Arabidopsis thaliana: one gene and its partner. The protein of the gene in region 1 interacts with the protein of each later gene in a pairwise test. Each region holds a gene or a part of one and is shown on either strand. Other genes may lie near its edges.

Evidence for each region. The genes of interacting proteins can lie anywhere in the genome.
Region 2: the proteins of ATCTH (region 1) and HAT2 interact in a two-hybrid assay, tested with the Arabidopsis thaliana proteins (one large-scale study listed by BioGRID).

What each region holds. Positions count from the first base shown.
Region 1 is NC_003071.7:11,037,480-11,046,027, forward strand, and holds ATCTH (Zinc finger C-x8-C-x5-C-x3-H type family protein), read left to right. Parts: upstream 1-3,851; 5' UTR 3,852-3,994; intron 3,995-4,086; 5' UTR 4,087-4,337; coding exon 4,338-5,285; 3' UTR 5,286-5,777; downstream 5,778-8,548. Other genes in the region: AT2G25890 (Oleosin family protein), read left to right, coding at 1-405; AT2G25905 (uncharacterized protein), read left to right, coding at 8,513-8,532.
Region 2 is NC_003076.8:19,213,829-19,222,168, reverse strand, and holds HAT2 (Homeobox-leucine zipper protein 4 (HB-4) / HD-ZIP protein), read left to right. Parts: upstream 1-4,161; 5' UTR 4,162-4,521; coding exon 4,522-4,672; intron 4,673-4,807; coding exon 4,808-5,118; intron 5,119-5,201; coding exon 5,202-5,281; intron 5,282-5,377; coding exon 5,378-5,687; 3' UTR 5,688-5,898; downstream 5,899-8,340. Other genes in the region: AT5G47380 (electron transporter, putative (Protein of unknown function, DUF547)), read left to right, coding at 1-85, 226-551, 628-697; AT5G47360 (Tetratricopeptide repeat (TPR)-like superfamily protein), read left to right, coding at 6,291-7,724; AT5G47350 (alpha/beta-Hydrolases superfamily protein), read right to left, coding at 7,851-8,141, 8,224-8,340. UniProt on the Arabidopsis thaliana protein: Probable transcription factor that plays a role in auxin-mediated morphogenesis. Negatively regulates lateral root elongation.

The DNA.
Region 1 (8,548 bases):
AGGAGTCTCCATGAATCATCACCATCGACTCGGCAGATAGTGAGATTCGTAACGGCAGCTACGATCGGCCTATCACTCCTCGTGCTCTCAGGACTAACACTAACCGGAACGGTGATCGGTTTGATCGTAGCGACGCCGTTGATGGTTCTGTTCAGCCCGGTGTTGGTACCGGCAGTGATAACGATAGGGCTTTTGACGATGGGATTCCTATTCTCCGGTGGTTGTGGGGTGGCAGCAGCTACGGCGTTAACGTGGATTTATAAGTACGTTACCGGAAAACACCCGATGGGAGCGGATAAGGTGGATTACGCGAGGATGAGGATAGCGGAGAAAGCCAAAGAGTTGGGACATTATACGCACTCGCAGCCACAACAAACACACCAAACCACAACAACTACTCATTAGAGTTTAATAATTATATGGATCTATATGTTGTATTAAGTTTTATGATTATCCTACGTATGTTTTTTTAATACTGTTCTTACCTTTTTGAAAAGATCTATCTAAAATTTTATTTTCTATTTTCCATACAATTTTTTGTGTGTTTAATTGCTGATCGGTATTTTCTGTTTTATGATTGTGAAATAGCTAGTGTAAGGAAAGATGATAACGAATTAAGTAAATTAATAAATGCCAATTACTTGGTCACCGTCTGGCTTCTAGAATTATATGGTGGCTTTCTTGGTATATGTAAATGTAGTTTTGAGTGTGGTCCGTTTGATTTGAAATAATATTGTTGTTTTTATGTTCAAAAAGAAAATTGCAAGGTTTGTGAATTTTGTGTATCAATACCAAGGCTTGAACCACTTTATCTATACTCGCTAAATAAATTTCGAAGGCTGCGCTAAATGGCTCGTGTCATTTACGTTGTCTTCATGAACGTATTGTAGTTAGTGTGATTGTAAAAATATTTCTTTGTTTAATCATTCCTCAAAAATTGTATTCGGCCTTTGAGAGATGCGGTGAGGTCGTATGCATGTTTTCCCAAATTTCGAATACTTGCAAACTGTTCTATGAATGTGGTTTTTAGGTACTCATGAAATAATTGAAAACTTTACTTGTCTATATGTTCGTAAACCATTGGCATTGAATTGCATGGCATGGCTTACTATGCGCGCACCAACAAAATGCACATGCATGCTTCACGAACGTATAAAGAAGCTGAGGGTGGACAACATTCACTGCTTGTAGTGGGCAATGCAGTCTTGTAGAGCAGTTGTACTTTCAAACGAGGTTCTTTGTCAACGTCTGATTGGTTTTCTAGAATAATTGAAGGAGTACTTTTGTCCTTATCCTCGCAATGGACTGAGTAAGTTTCCTCCGCGGTTCCCTACTGGCCATGAGCTATGAATTTTTCAAGTGGTGGGTGCCAGGTGCCGGGTGGGTGCGGCGTTAGGATTATTCCTAAAGTTGAGGATCGATATACGGTTAAGTTTTTTTGTTATGGAGTGGTGTTTCGTAGTTTGTCATTGCATCAGTTTGATAATCTCTTTCTTCTAGCACCAGATTGTTTAGATAAATGTTAGGATATATGTGGAAGCAAAGGAATGATGTGGTTCACAACCAAGTCTCGATCCCAATATCAACTATCTTCAAGCTCATCGACAAAGAGATTCAGAACGTAAGCACCGCAAGACGTAAATGCAAGCGTTATTGCAACCTAATGCAAACTCTGGTTAATTTTAACTCCCACTATGTAATGTGACTTCTACATCATTTGTCTCTTTGTTTAATTTTTTGGCCAAAGATTCAAATCCATTGATATTCAGAGACAATAGTCTATATGGATTTATTAGATATAGTCTATATGGACTTATTAGATGATATTAACATTCATAGAGAAAACAACAAATTAGGATACGTTTTCTTTCTAATGAGAAAGTGAATGTACGAATGGTTGTTGGGAGGCTATTGTGTCTCGTAGATATTTTAAATAATTTGAATGTTTACTAATATAGAATGTGTATTCAATTATAACTATTTAAATTATTTTATTGTTGGTTTAGACGCATTCTTAAACTTTCACATCATTCTCTCGTGACTATTATAATAGTTATCGTGCTCGATCAATCATCTCGTGACTATTATAATTTTATCAATAGTTTATGCATAAGAGAACTGATAACGATCATACTTCTTTTTGTCATTATGATAGCTTATGATTAATCATTGTTTATCCATACTTGACGCTTGTAAGTGAAACATATGTTTAAATTTTCAGGCTTAATTTAATAGCCACGAACCAAAAATTATCTTATAATAAAAGTTTGGTGCGATTTAAGAAGATTTGTCCCCAAAGCCCTATCTGAAAGAGGTCAAATTGGATTATTAAATTCAACATATTAATCAATTTGATATTTGTTTAATGGTCTGATTAGTGACAATTATAAGTCTAATATTGCGAATCTTTTGCAGTGAGTATTCCACGTGATATAGATAAGTTTCCCTTAATGGATAACCTTTGCATCAAACAATTAGAAAACAAATGGAAGAGTATCAATCAAGTAGATCTCGAAGCAGTGGACCCTAACACGATACTGGAACATGGACCAAACCTTAAAATATCGTCCAAATTGCTTATTTTCTGGAAGGTTACAAGTGCACAACACTCTAATAATATATGCCCCGCATAACAATTTTTAAAACTATTTCATCTTAGACCTCGGATATTTTGAAGGAAGCACATTTTCTTGAAAATCACTAGGTGACTTGTGTTTCTTTCTTTGGAGCATGTCAATTTACTCCCATCAGCTGGAGAGCCAAAAGTTAAAATTAATGTTCGAAATTTATTTCATAAAAGCTACGTACGTTGCATCCTTCCATGATCTAGAAAAAATGGGGGACAATAACCAAATTTATTCACTCTTGTCAGGTCATGGGGAGTAGTCTACGACCTTGAAAGTCACGTGACAAGTAATATATACTGTACCGTCCAAATATTTTCTTACTGTAATGTCTTATGTTTCATATCGCTAGACCCTTAATATTAGTGTGGACTAATTCATATAATTGCAAATAAAATAGTATGATTCTACGATTCTTCAAAATGATCTAATAGTTACAGTCTGGTCAAAATGATCTAAATCTTTATAAACAAATAACAGCTACGGAATAATTAACACAATTTTTGGTGATAAACTTTGAGTTATGATAGAAATTTTTTTTTTTTCAATTTTTAATGTGTATCTTAATTTCTTCAATTAATGTATCCCTATGTTTTATGTGACTATATAACTTTTGGTTAGTGATACTCCAAAAATGTTGTTTTAGGTTTTGACACACATATTAATAATTTGTTTTATTTTTTACTTTACAAAATTTCTTATTGGTTAAAACATAAATCACTGCAAATAAAACTTTAATTTTGTTTGTAGTCAAAATTAGCTTTTAAAAATGTAAATTGATATTTATTCTAATTATTTTTTTAATGTTCTGACAATTAATTTAAAACGGAAAGCGTAATAAAGTAGATGTTGGGGCTGATTGGTAACGGCTGTTACTTTTGAACTCTAAATATTTCGGATGTTACGACTTTGACTGTAAAAATTTTGGTTGTAAAAATTTTGACGATAGAAACTTTAACTGTTAAAGTCTGATTGGTACAAAAAAATCACAATTATTTTTATTATTATTTAATATTTTTTATAAATATTATTTATGCTAAAAAATCAATTTATTTGGTAAAATAGTAACTAAAATAAATTTATTTTAAAAAAATACAAAATTCATTTTACAAATTCACTATTTTAAATATTTAAATTGGATCTGAAAAGAACAGAAAAAATAAAATTCGAATTAATCAATCGATTTTTTAATGATAAAATATAAATAAATTTGAAAAGAGTTTTGAAATTTTATGGATAAAGAAAAAATATTTTTATTTTGTTTTATTATTCTCTTTTAAAGTTAAAGACTTTAGGAAAAAAACAAAAGAAAAAAAGTAAATGGAGAGAAAAAAGCTTTTAAAACTTTAAAAATTAATAAAGTTTTAAAAGTGTGATTGATTAAAAAATAAATTTGAAAATTTTTAAATATTTTTAAAGCTTTGAAAACATTTTTTTTTTTTTTGGGGGGACAAATATGAAGAAAAAAAAAAAAAAAAAAAGACGAACATGAAGGGGAAAAAAACAAAAGACGAACAAAAATTGGAGATTTTTTCTTACACGTGTCATCATCTGCAGATTTGCGCTTATTAATTGTTTACCGTACGGTATTGTGGATAGGGTCAAGATTTTCATAACTTTACCGTAGTTAATATTTGACCCAACCATGGTTAAAATAAAGCAGTTTATATCACAGACACACACCTCTCTCTCTTCTAGACTCACTAAACAAAAATGATGATCGGCGAAAATAAAAACCGGCCACATCCAACGATCCATATCCCTCAATGGGATCAAATCAACGATCCAACGGCCACAATCTCTTCACCATTCTCTTCCGTCAACCTTAACAGCGTTAACGACTACCCACACTCTCCGTCACCGTATCTCGACTCCTTCGCTTCTCTCTTCCGTTACCTCCCGTCAAACGAGTTAACAAACGATTCAGACTCATCAAGTGGCGACGAGTCATCACCACTCACCGACTCATTCTCCTCCGACGAGTTTCGCATCTACGAGTTCAAAATCCGGCGATGCGCTCGAGGTCGATCTCATGATTGGACGGAGTGTCCGTTCGCACATCCCGGAGAAAAAGCTCGACGACGTGATCCGAGAAAGTTTCATTACTCCGGCACCGCTTGTCCTGAGTTTCGTAAAGGAAGTTGTAGAAGAGGTGATTCGTGTGAGTTCTCTCATGGAGTTTTCGAGTGTTGGCTCCATCCTTCTCGTTACCGTACTCAGCCGTGTAAAGACGGAACTAGCTGCCGGAGAAGAATCTGTTTCTTCGCTCATACGACGGAGCAGTTACGTGTATTACCTTGTTCGTTAGATCCAGATCTTGGATTCTTCTCAGGATTAGCTACTTCTCCGACTTCGATTCTTGTTTCTCCTTCGTTTTCACCACCGTCGGAATCTCCGCCGCTTTCTCCGAGTACCGGTGAACTTATTGCGTCGATGAGGAAAATGCAATTGAACGGAGGTGGTTGTTCGTGGAGTTCTCCGATGAGATCTGCAGTTAGGTTACCTTTTTCGTCGTCTCTGCGTCCGATTCAGGCGGCAACGTGGCCGAGGATAAGAGAGTTTGAGATCGAAGAAGCTCCGGCGATGGAATTTGTGGAATCTGGGAAAGAGCTGAGAGCGGAGATGTATGCAAGACTCAGTAGAGAGAACTCACTCGGTTGAGTCGACTTGGATCGAGTCTTTGATGACGTGGCGACTCGATCTGATTTTGTGAATATTTTAGAGATTTTTAAGGTGTTGTGGATAAATGACGTGGCGGGTCGATCTTAGTGACGGTACAATCGGACGATGAAGAAAAAAGCGTTAAGAGTAACAAAAAAAGGAAGAATTTGTAAAGAGATGATAATGAGAGAATTTGAGAGCTATTCTTCTGGCTTTTTTCTCTGCAGTTTTTTTTATTGTTTTCGTTATTTTCTTGTTTTTATTTTGGTTTTCGGCTTTATTTTGTTTGTTGTTTATTAATGTTATATCATTTTGTAATTAGTTCTCAAATGTATTTGGATAACATCTTAGTTTGAGACTTTAGAAAAGAACATTTCATTTGTTGTTTCCTTCTTATCGATTTCGTTGTTATAATAGTAAGAGGATATAAATATTTTTTGTTGGCCTGTTCTTTTTCCAAACGCTGCGATCATATCCAGCGACCAAAAAAACAGTTGCTTAACACACAATTACGTTGAAGTCTGTAGAAAGTTATGTGAAGAGGAGTCGCTCGATTTTAAAAACAGCGACCTATAAGGCATATACACGTGTCGCCAAAAAATAACAGCAACTTAACATTTTCACTAAGGACGCCGCCGGCGTCCATATTGAACGACTGTTTTTGTATCTCCGTTATAATTTTTGCTTTTCGTCGGAGTCCCTATTGCTGTCACAGCGATTAATAAACGAACAAGCCCAACAATTAATCAGAGAAAATAGTCTCGAGAAAATAACTCTCTTGCATCATATCTCTAATGAACATCAAATCTGCCTACAAATTCTATTTTTAAGTAAACATATTCCTTTTGACAAAAAAAAAAAACTATTTGGCTATTTCCAATGGTAGACTAGATCCACTCTGAAAATAGACTAATGACTAATGAATACTCATAATTTGGATAAAATTTTCATTTTCAGAATGATTTTCAAATTTAAATATGTTTTCAGTAATACACGAACAAATCTATATGTTTTAGGTATACATTGGGCATTTAATCAATACTAATATGGTTATCCAGTTAATTGAAATTTAAAAATACAACAATAATGTATTAAATTAAAAAATACAGTGACATAACAAACGATAATTTTATACATAATAAGTTATGAAATTTAACATAAAAACTCAAACAAACATAACAGAACATAGACTAGTAAACAGTTTTGTTTAAAAACTAATAACAAAAAAGAAATAGAATATGGTACACAAAAGAGAGTAATGGTAATCAATCCTATTTGCTTCGTGCAAATAGAGAGCATGAGACTCTTATTACTTACTTAGTTTGAGGAGAAAAGCTATGTTTTTTGTATTTTAATTATTAATTTTGAATAATGTATTGGTAGAACTTCTCTTATGAAATGAGATGTTTTTCTATTTTAATTTTCCTATTTATTGATTATGCTTTTTATATAATAGCTAATTTTTTAAAAAACATATTATTTAATTTGAATCGTTTTTGAGTAATGATATGAATGTAAAATCAAAATTTCACGTAACTTTCAAATTTAATACTAAAAATAGTTAGCATCAATAATTAAAAATGATACCAAAGGATTTATAACCTCACTAACAAAAATGATGTTTATCTTAAATTATAACATCATTTAAAAGAGTGATGCTAAATTGTTTTAGTTTCACTGAATTTAGCATCGCTTTCTAAAATGACTATATAATTCTACCGTCAGTTTAAAAGTCAAACTAACTTATAAAAAAAAAACTGATGCCAGATTTATTTATTTATTATCTTTTTAAAAAAATTTTAGTGATGATGCATCTCAGTATCTCAATGTTGTTTGTTTCTAACTTTCTATATTTAGTTTATAGTTTTATTAAAAAAAAAACTATTACATGGTCTAAAAAATCATAATTTTAACGTGAATTGTTTATATATGCAGTGAGTAAAACAAATAAATTTTCAGAATGCATTCCTCATTTATGAGAGAAGGAGTGTAATTTCTTCGCTTACTTTTTGAATGGAAGAAATCGTGTAATTTCTTAAAGTTGAATGATACTGCAATAATTATACAAAATGTTACTAATTAAGTAAAAAAAAAAAAGAAGAACAATACAAGGAACTAACAAACACAATTTTTTTTTTTATGCAAAATATAAGTAAAATATAAGTAAAAGATAAGCAAATGTACAATTTGGTTTTGATTAACCTATGCGTTTTTTTAGTATTTGGTCAAACCACGAATTAACTTGTTTCCAAAAACAAATTAGAAAAATTTCTGACTTTGGTTTGGCATGGTCTACAGCAGAGGGCAGAGAATCGATCAGGACAAAGTGTTTTGGAACAGCTGGTTACATTGCACCAAAATAAGCATGTAAGATTCTTCTTTAATATGTCAATATTTACATCTGATCACCAATATATTTGATTTATGACTCCTCTTTGTAATTACAGTGACTAACTACAAAAGCTGATGTCTATAGCTTTAAGGTACTTCTCATGGAATTAGTACCAGCCATCAAGCTATTATATGAAGATGATCATCACATTCCCAGTTGGTTCACGAAAGTATTCATCGACAAAGACTCATTCGAAAAAGCCATTAACAAAACCATGGACCTTAACTAGAAGACCGCATCATCATTAATGATTGACTAAATAAAGATATTATTTAATCTAAATGATATATAATATATTATTATAAAATGTTCATTACAGACATAGTTTTTTTAATATATCTGATGACAAATTAATACAAATGCTTATACCAACAAATAAAAATAATGAAAGAAACTAAATGATAAATAAAACTAAAACATAAATAAATAAATAAAAACAAATACAATCTTAGAGAGATAACTCTTGAATACGTATGACCAAATTAATCTTGGTTCCCCATAAAAGATATGAGTTTCCCACTCATATGTATGCAACTTCTTGGTGTTATAATAGCTAGGTCTCTATGCGTCTCAAAATTTTGTGGTGTTCTACTTTGTAATGTCATTTTTATAAATTCGAGTTTTCTTTTTATCACTTTCGTGTTTTGTCGTCTAGAAAATTCATGGTTAATCACACGTTAAATGTAGCATTGTTGTTTAATTAGATCATTCGTGCTTTGTTTTGATCGTATAGCTCAAGAGATTAATTACAGTTTGTTTTTATCGATAAACATGAGTGAGATGGTGTTGATGACAATTGGAGTTTATAATCAAAAGTTGTAATAAAAACCTAACTATGGGAATCTTGTCACGCAGGTAAAAAAGACCCTTT
Region 2 (8,340 bases), on another chromosome or scaffold:
TAAAGTAAAGTCAATGTTTAGCCTTGACAAACCAGAGCCACTTGTCTGTTTTGCTCTTTGCATTGGTGCTCTATCAGATCCAGTGGTAACTTCTTTTGACGTTTTATTACTAATCTTATTCACATACATATATTAAATTTTGTCACATTTCAGTCAGAATATGTTGGTTTACTTGAGCAAAAGAATAGCTTGTAATGGGAAATTACATGATGGAAGTGATTGCAGCTAAAAGCCTACACTGCATCAAACGTTAAAGAGGAATTAGATGCTTCAAAAAGAGAGTTTCTTGGAGCAAACGTGGTTGTAAAGATGCAGAAGAAAGTGTTATTACCTAAGATTATAGAGAGGTTTACAAAGGAAGCTTCTCTGAGCTTTGATGACCTGATGAGATGGTTAATAGATAACGCAGACGAAAAGCTTGGAGAATCAATACAAAAATGCGTACAAGGCAAACCAAACAACAAGAAAGCATCGCAGGTCGTCGAATGGTTGCCATACAGTTCAAAATTCCGTTATGTTTTCTCCAAGGACTTGATGGAGAAAAAGCCCTGGTGGGTTTAGAAGGATATTGCTTGTGTTATAATGAAAGCTTTCGATGCCCTAATTCTCTCCCTTGTATGTTTATAGTGAGACAATGAAAAAGGCTATCCTTGTGTACAAGAGAAACTATCTTCTTTCCCAGACCGCTCTGGCTTGATTTTTCCTTTTTTACAAAACTAACTAATCTAACTGCTAATTGTGAAATCATAATGTGACATGTATAGTTTGATAAGACAGTGGAACATTGTTGATACGACGACAAGATTTGACAATTTTGGACTTTTGGTCGATGTAATATAACACAAGAGTGAAGAGATTGTGGTTTGAATTTAAGAGTGAACGGTCACAAAACAACAATGTTTAAGTTATTCACAACTTTGCATCATTATAGATTTATAAGCCGAGAAGAGCATAATCTGATTTTTCTTCTTGGTGATACTTTGCATTTTCAAGGTTAATAGTTTTCTTCTGGATCATCATTTTCAAGATTATATGAAAATAATCTAATTAGTACACGTTCATTAAACAAACATTTCGTTTATTCTTGTGAGTAGAAAAATAAGAGACGGATGTTTGACCGTTGACTGGAAATCTATATGTAAGTGGGGAATGCACGTGCGGGTGTCACTACACACACGTGTGCTTCGCTGGAGTGGGTGGTTTTGGGTCGCATAAGAATATGTGCGCCACGTCAATTCCACATGGGTAGCCCATAAGATTTTACGCACCACCCAACTTTCGAAGCTCTCTCTCAAGATTCTCCAATATGATTTTCATTTTTTATCCTTATAATCATTGAAGAAATTATGACTTTAAACAAAATCATTGAAGAAATTATAATCCCTATCTTTATTTTTGGCATGGGAATCTCAATGATCGATCATATTATTACCATTAGTAATAACAAGCCTCAATTTTAACGTCAAAAAATAATCAAAACTGTCACATACGCATTTTCGTTAATAATTAAAGCTTAGTGTTTATTTTTAAAATACTATAAGAGTCCAACAATCATGTGATGCAAACCTCAAATTCCGAGCTTCTCTAGAATAAGAATAAGCTGCTTTGTGTGATGATCATAATTATGCATGTTGATTGATTTTTCCTAAATCTAAAAAATAATCAAATATTCCAGTTAACAGATCTCAGTACATGTGAGAGGACAATTAGACAAAATCTAATGTACTATTTGTTTAGAGAATAATTGGTTAGTTAGGTTAAGGAAAAAACAGAGAGTATAAAATATCCCCAATGATGACCTCGTTCTACAGCCAAAATGCTGTAAAGAACATTCAAAGCTAATATACACATGCATGAAACATATGATTAAGCAACTAAAACCATGATTATTAGTCCTACGCAATTGCCAAACATATAAAATGATTACAACACATACTTTTAAAATATTCCGTTGCCTATGATTTTGTTTTGTGTTGTGGTACTCAACTTTGGATTTGGATCTGTGATGTAGGCCTGCAGCTTTTATTTCAAATAATATATATATATTTTATTTCCGAAGGAAACTAAGTAATCGAAATGGTGTATTCAATTCAATATTTCACTTATCATGTAAATTGAGAAACTAAGGTAAGACTGTAAGAGAATGCTCATACCCTTCTGCACTACCTCCAAATAGACGAGGCTCTACTGAAAAAATCGGAATAATGTGAAATAACAAGTTGCTGTTTGGACGCCATATCTCAATTTGCTATATCTACAAATTAACGATACCAAAGTGCTAGTAGGGGCTAAATGCAGAAATTTAAGCCATTCACCATTACGGATAGAACATGAAATTCTCATTTAAGCTATGCTACTTGAATATGTTCTCGTTAAGAATTGTTTCACCCTAGTGCAAGATCCGCGGTCATGCTCAATTAAGTGCTAAAAGTTAGACTAGTAGACCAAATTTGAATCCGATATATATATTACCTTGGTGCCGAACTCAAACTTAGACATGCTCGAACCTCAACACCAAGAACACTCGATGTTTTTGCCAATACTTACATAAAAGCTATTGGAGGATCACTAATAAATGATTGATCATCAATCATCATGCTTTGCGGACTCTCTTTTTCGTTGAGGGGTAAATGATTACAAATAAACATGCGCGCGTGGATATAACGCACTTGGTCAGTGCGTGTGGCACAAGTCAGAGTGAACACGTGGGACAGCCAGATCACACTGAAACACAACTCCGACATCTTGTCGGATCTTATGTAAAGCGTTGGGTCCCACTTTTCATAATATCTCTCACCACGAAACCCATCTTTTTGCTCTCAATTATTGTCGCTCATTGCCGTATCTCTTCATAATTTCACTATATACATGTCTACGTTAGGCGGAAATTATTAAATTGTTTTTGGAATTTTAGTTTACATGTTATTTTTTTCTAAATAAACATGAAATATATTTACAAAAGTATATCCAAACCATCATTTTTTTATTGTTTACATATACACTAATGACACTTTTATTTGGATTGTGAATTATGATTATGCAACGATCACTAGTAGTTTACTAGAACAATTAAGTTTACATGCTTCAGGCATTGTAAAACAACTATTTACAAAAACTGAAGTTAGTCTACAACTAGTTTTTGTGAAAAGAAAGGAATATTAGACGATAAAAAAGTAGGCAGCAGTTAAAGGAATCAAATAATTAACAAGTTAGCATTGATTGAGGCGGATGGTTACACATGATAAGGAGCAGGCGAGTGAGGAAACAACACAACACGCACGATCACGCTGTTATGACCCACATGCTCCTATCTCCATGTTACTGTACGCAAAGTGGTTATACATTTACACACACTTGACCAATATTGCTCACATTTAAATTTTTATTTCTAAAGGAAAAAGCACAAACATTTAAAGGTTTTACTGACGGAAGAAACGAAAAAAAGTAGTAGCTTTAAAATGTCATTGTTGATGAAAGTAGAAACCATGATGATGATATTTATGTGCAAATATTCATCTCACACGTATATCATTGGTTCATAACCGTTGGTTGGTCCACAACTTTGAACAAGTTCAGATTCTTTTTGATTGTGTTTTGTACCAACCACTCCAATTAGTCAATATTCCATTATATCCAACCTCAAATACTATTTTCCCTTTTCTCTTTAAAAAATATTTGGACAAATAATTGGCTACACTATTGGAGATTTGACTCAGCTCGGTATGCCGTAACTAATCAAGATACTATTTTCTATACTTTCTTTTATTGATATCCACATAATACATGTACTTTGAGTATAATGACGTGTACTTGATTAAGACAAAACGAAGTACGAGAATTATTGTATTTATCAACTTTGAGACATACTACATGATATGGATCATGAAAATTAACACAAGTAGTGCAAATTGCGTTATCCATATACAAAAAACATCGCACCTTGATGATTCACTTAATTGTAGATTACTTTCTCAGAGTGGTCCGGACATTTCTATTGGTTTTAAAGACATTGGCTTTAAATCTTCAGACACAAAACACATATACATGTGTACACTTGAAAACATATTGGCCATCTTATTTGTTTTGGACAAACTGCCATCTTATTATGCATGGGTTCTTGTAAGGAATAAACTAAAAATGTTTGTGAAAGAAAAAGAAAAACACAAATATTGAGAAAGTACAAAAAGAAAGACATGGCAAAGGCCAAAGGGGGGACACAAGTTGGAGATAAAGTAATACAAGTCCAAAAACAAAGAAACAATAATGATGGATTGTAATTAGCCACCTGACAAAATCTCTCATCATTCAAAGTACTATATTAATCCCCTCTCTTCTTCATTACCATCTCACATCTCTCTCTATTTCTCTTCCACAAAGAGTCCTAACTTCGAGTTGAAACAAACACCATTTCTCATCTCTATCTCAGAAAGAACAAACCATTTCGTGTTCTTTCTTTCTCTATTCTCATAAGGAAATATAATTCCTGAAACTGTTGAGTTCTTGTGAAAGGAAATAAAAAACATGATGATGGGCAAAGAAGATCTAGGTTTGAGCCTAAGCTTAGGGTTTTCACAAAATCACAATCCTCTTCAGATGAATCTGAATCCTAACTCTTCATTATCAAACAATCTCCAGAGACTCCCATGGAACCAAACATTCGATCCTACATCAGGTATATACTTAAATCTTCTCTGTTTTTTTTTTTAAAGAAACAGAACAGATTTCAGAATTGAAGTATGAGACTTTTCTTCGTTTCCAAGTAAAATAAAAACAGATCTCAAACTTAAAATTTGATTGCTCTTTGCAGATCTTCGCAAGATAGACGTGAACAGTTTTCCATCAACGGTTAACTGCGAGGAAGACACAGGAGTTTCGTCACCAAACAGTACGATCTCAAGCACCATTAGCGGGAAGAGAAGTGAGAGAGAAGGAATCTCCGGAACCGGCGTTGGCTCCGGCGACGATCACGACGAGATCACTCCGGATCGAGGGTACTCACGTGGAACCTCAGATGAAGAAGAAGACGGGGGCGAAACGTCGAGGAAGAAGCTCAGGTTATCAAAAGATCAGTCTGCTTTTCTCGAAGAGACTTTCAAAGAACACAACACTCTCAATCCCGTAAGTGTAAAAAAGTCAGAGGAATCAAATGATAATTATCGTAATTACTTTGAAATAACCAAGGTTATTATCATAATTTACAGAAACAGAAGCTAGCTTTGGCTAAGAAGCTGAACTTGACGGCAAGACAAGTGGAAGTGTGGTTCCAAAACAGAAGAGCTAGGTGAGATTTTCTTGTCTTAACACCAAAATTGTAAAATTACATTTATACCCCCTTGTGTAGAAGTTTTTACTTACAAGGTCCGATTTGGTTTTACAGAACCAAGTTAAAGCAAACGGAGGTAGATTGCGAATACTTGAAACGGTGCGTAGAGAAGCTAACGGAAGAGAACCGGAGACTTCAGAAAGAGGCTATGGAGCTTCGAACTCTCAAGCTGTCTCCACAATTCTACGGTCAGATGACTCCACCAACTACACTCATCATGTGTCCTTCGTGCGAGCGTGTGGGTGGCCCATCATCATCGAACCATCACCACAATCACAGGCCCGTTTCTATCAATCCGTGGGTTGCTTGTGCTGGTCAGGTGGCTCATGGGCTGAATTTTGAAGCCTTGCGTCCACGATCGTGATTTTTTATTTTAGTGGTGGGAAAAGGGTGTTTTGGTATTTTTCGTTATCGTTATATAGTCTATCTGTGTGGGGTCATTGTAATTTTGGATGATTGGCCTTCTCATGAACTAGTCCTATGTATGATGCAACCTTAAAAAGATTTAAATTAGCAAAAATTAGTTACAAACTTGCTATATTAACCAAAAATTATGAAACTATCTTTTTTTGATATCTTACAAGAGTTCTAAATTAAACCAAAAATTCACAAACGTCTTCTAGATAAATACACAGTTTCTGAGCATGGTATAAGTGTAGCTTATATGCAGTTGCTCAAAAAAGAAAAGAAAAAGAAGTGTAGCTTATTTGAAGTTCTTAACGAAATCATGAAATCTTGTGACCTAATCTGACTTCAATTGCTTTTCCGATTCAGATCTGACAAAGATGTATGAGCAATTCTTATTGGGTCTTAATGGGCTACATTATTATGTCGGCCCATACGTTTAGTCTTTCGTCGTCGTTTCCATCTGCGAAAGCGAAACTCTCCTATTTCTCTCACTCAAGTCTCATTCTTACGATTTTCTTAACGAAATCTTTCATCAATCGCTACACTTATAGCGACCCAGATGCCAAATTCATTGATTTCTCGTCTGGTATCTCCTTCATTACGATCTCAGCCCTCAAAAATCTCAGCTTTACGTTTTTTAACAACTGTCTCAGCCGCCGAGAGATTATACGGCCAGCTTCAAGGATGCACAAGTAATCTCGAGAAAGAATTAGCTTCGGCTAATGTACAATTAGACTCCTCTTGTATCAACGAGGTACTAAGAAGATGCGATCCAAATCAATTTCAATCGGGTCTTAGGTTTTTCATATGGGCAGGAACTCTATCCAGCCATAGACACAGTGCTTACATGTATACCAAAGCTTGCGACATTCTTAAGATTAGAGCAAAGCCAGATTTGATCAAATACGTTATTGAATCTTATCGGAAAGAAGAATGCTTTGTTAATGTTAAGACGATGAGGATTGTTCTGACTCTGTGTAATCAAGCGAATCTCGCTGATGAGGCATTGTGGGTATTAAGGAAGTTTCCTGAATTTAATGTATGTGCAGACACTGTTGCGTATAATTTGGTGATTAGGTTGTTTGCTGATAAGGGAGATTTGAATATAGCTGATATGTTGATAAAAGAGATGGATTGTGTTGGTCTTTATCCAGATGTGATTACTTATACGTCGATGATCAATGGGTATTGCAATGCGGGTAAGATTGATGACGCTTGGAGGTTAGCTAAGGAGATGAGTAAGCATGATTGCGTGCTTAACAGTGTGACGTATTCTAGGATTCTTGAAGGAGTTTGCAAGTCTGGTGATATGGAGAGAGCGTTAGAGTTGTTGGCGGAGATGGAGAAAGAAGACGGTGGTGGATTGATTAGTCCGAATGCGGTTACTTATACTTTGGTGATTCAAGCGTTTTGTGAGAAGAGGAGGGTTGAAGAGGCGTTGTTGGTATTGGATAGAATGGGAAACCGAGGGTGCATGCCGAATCGTGTTACTGCTTGTGTTTTGATTCAGGGGGTTTTGGAGAATGATGAGGATGTGAAGGCTCTTTCTAAGTTGATTGATAAGTTGGTGAAACTAGGCGGTGTTTCTCTTTCTGAGTGTTTTAGTTCGGCTACTGTGTCGCTAATCCGTATGAAAAGATGGGAAGAGGCTGAAAAGATTTTCCGTCTGATGTTGGTCCGCGGGGTTAGACCTGATGGTCTTGCGTGCAGTCATGTTTTCAGGGAGTTATGTTTGTTGGAAAGGTATCTCGATTGTTTCCTTCTGTATCAAGAAATCGAGAAGAAGGATGTGAAATCAACAATAGACTCGGATATACATGCGGTTCTTTTGCTCGGTCTCTGCCAACAGGGGAATTCTTGGGAAGCTGCTAAGCTTGCGAAATCAATGCTTGACAAGAAAATGAGATTGAAAGTTTCTCATGTTGAGAAAATCATTGAAGCCTTGAAGAAAACTGGTGATGAAGATCTCATGAGTCGTTTCTCTATTGATTAATTCAATTTATTCAGATAGTATGCTTTTATTATTCATATAAGAAGAAGGATTATTGTGTCACACAATCATCACTGAGCTTATTCGACATTGGATGAATTAGTATAGCGATTGAACTATTTGCTCATTTTAAGGATGCAAGGGCTCCTTGGTCTTGCGGTTGAGTCTTGGTGGGGCAGACTGTTGATCCTGGAGAAGAGGTACGACGTATTTGACGAGATCTTCGTCCGCCATTATTAAGTGGTCACCGGTTACATTCACAAACTGCACTTTTCCAGCAACAACCAATGCTTTCAGACCTATCCAATCTTCTATATAGAGCTTTGTCTCTTGAACAGGGAGAACATGTGTTAAGTCACCATCCGGATAAAACCCGAACCAAGATGACTCTTTTGGAACAATAACCGTATCGTTCTCAAACTGTATAAAAGAAAAACAAATCATCACGAGAGGAATCAGAAGATAGTAGACAACTATAATAGTTAAGAGAAGAGAAGCGAACCAGGACAAAAACCAGGTTCTGTAAACTTGCGAAACGGTCTTTGTAAGTTGTGTTTCTTTCGTATGGTCTCTCATTGTTAAGCTTAGGTAGATACTGACAGTCTTTCAGGTACCCTGT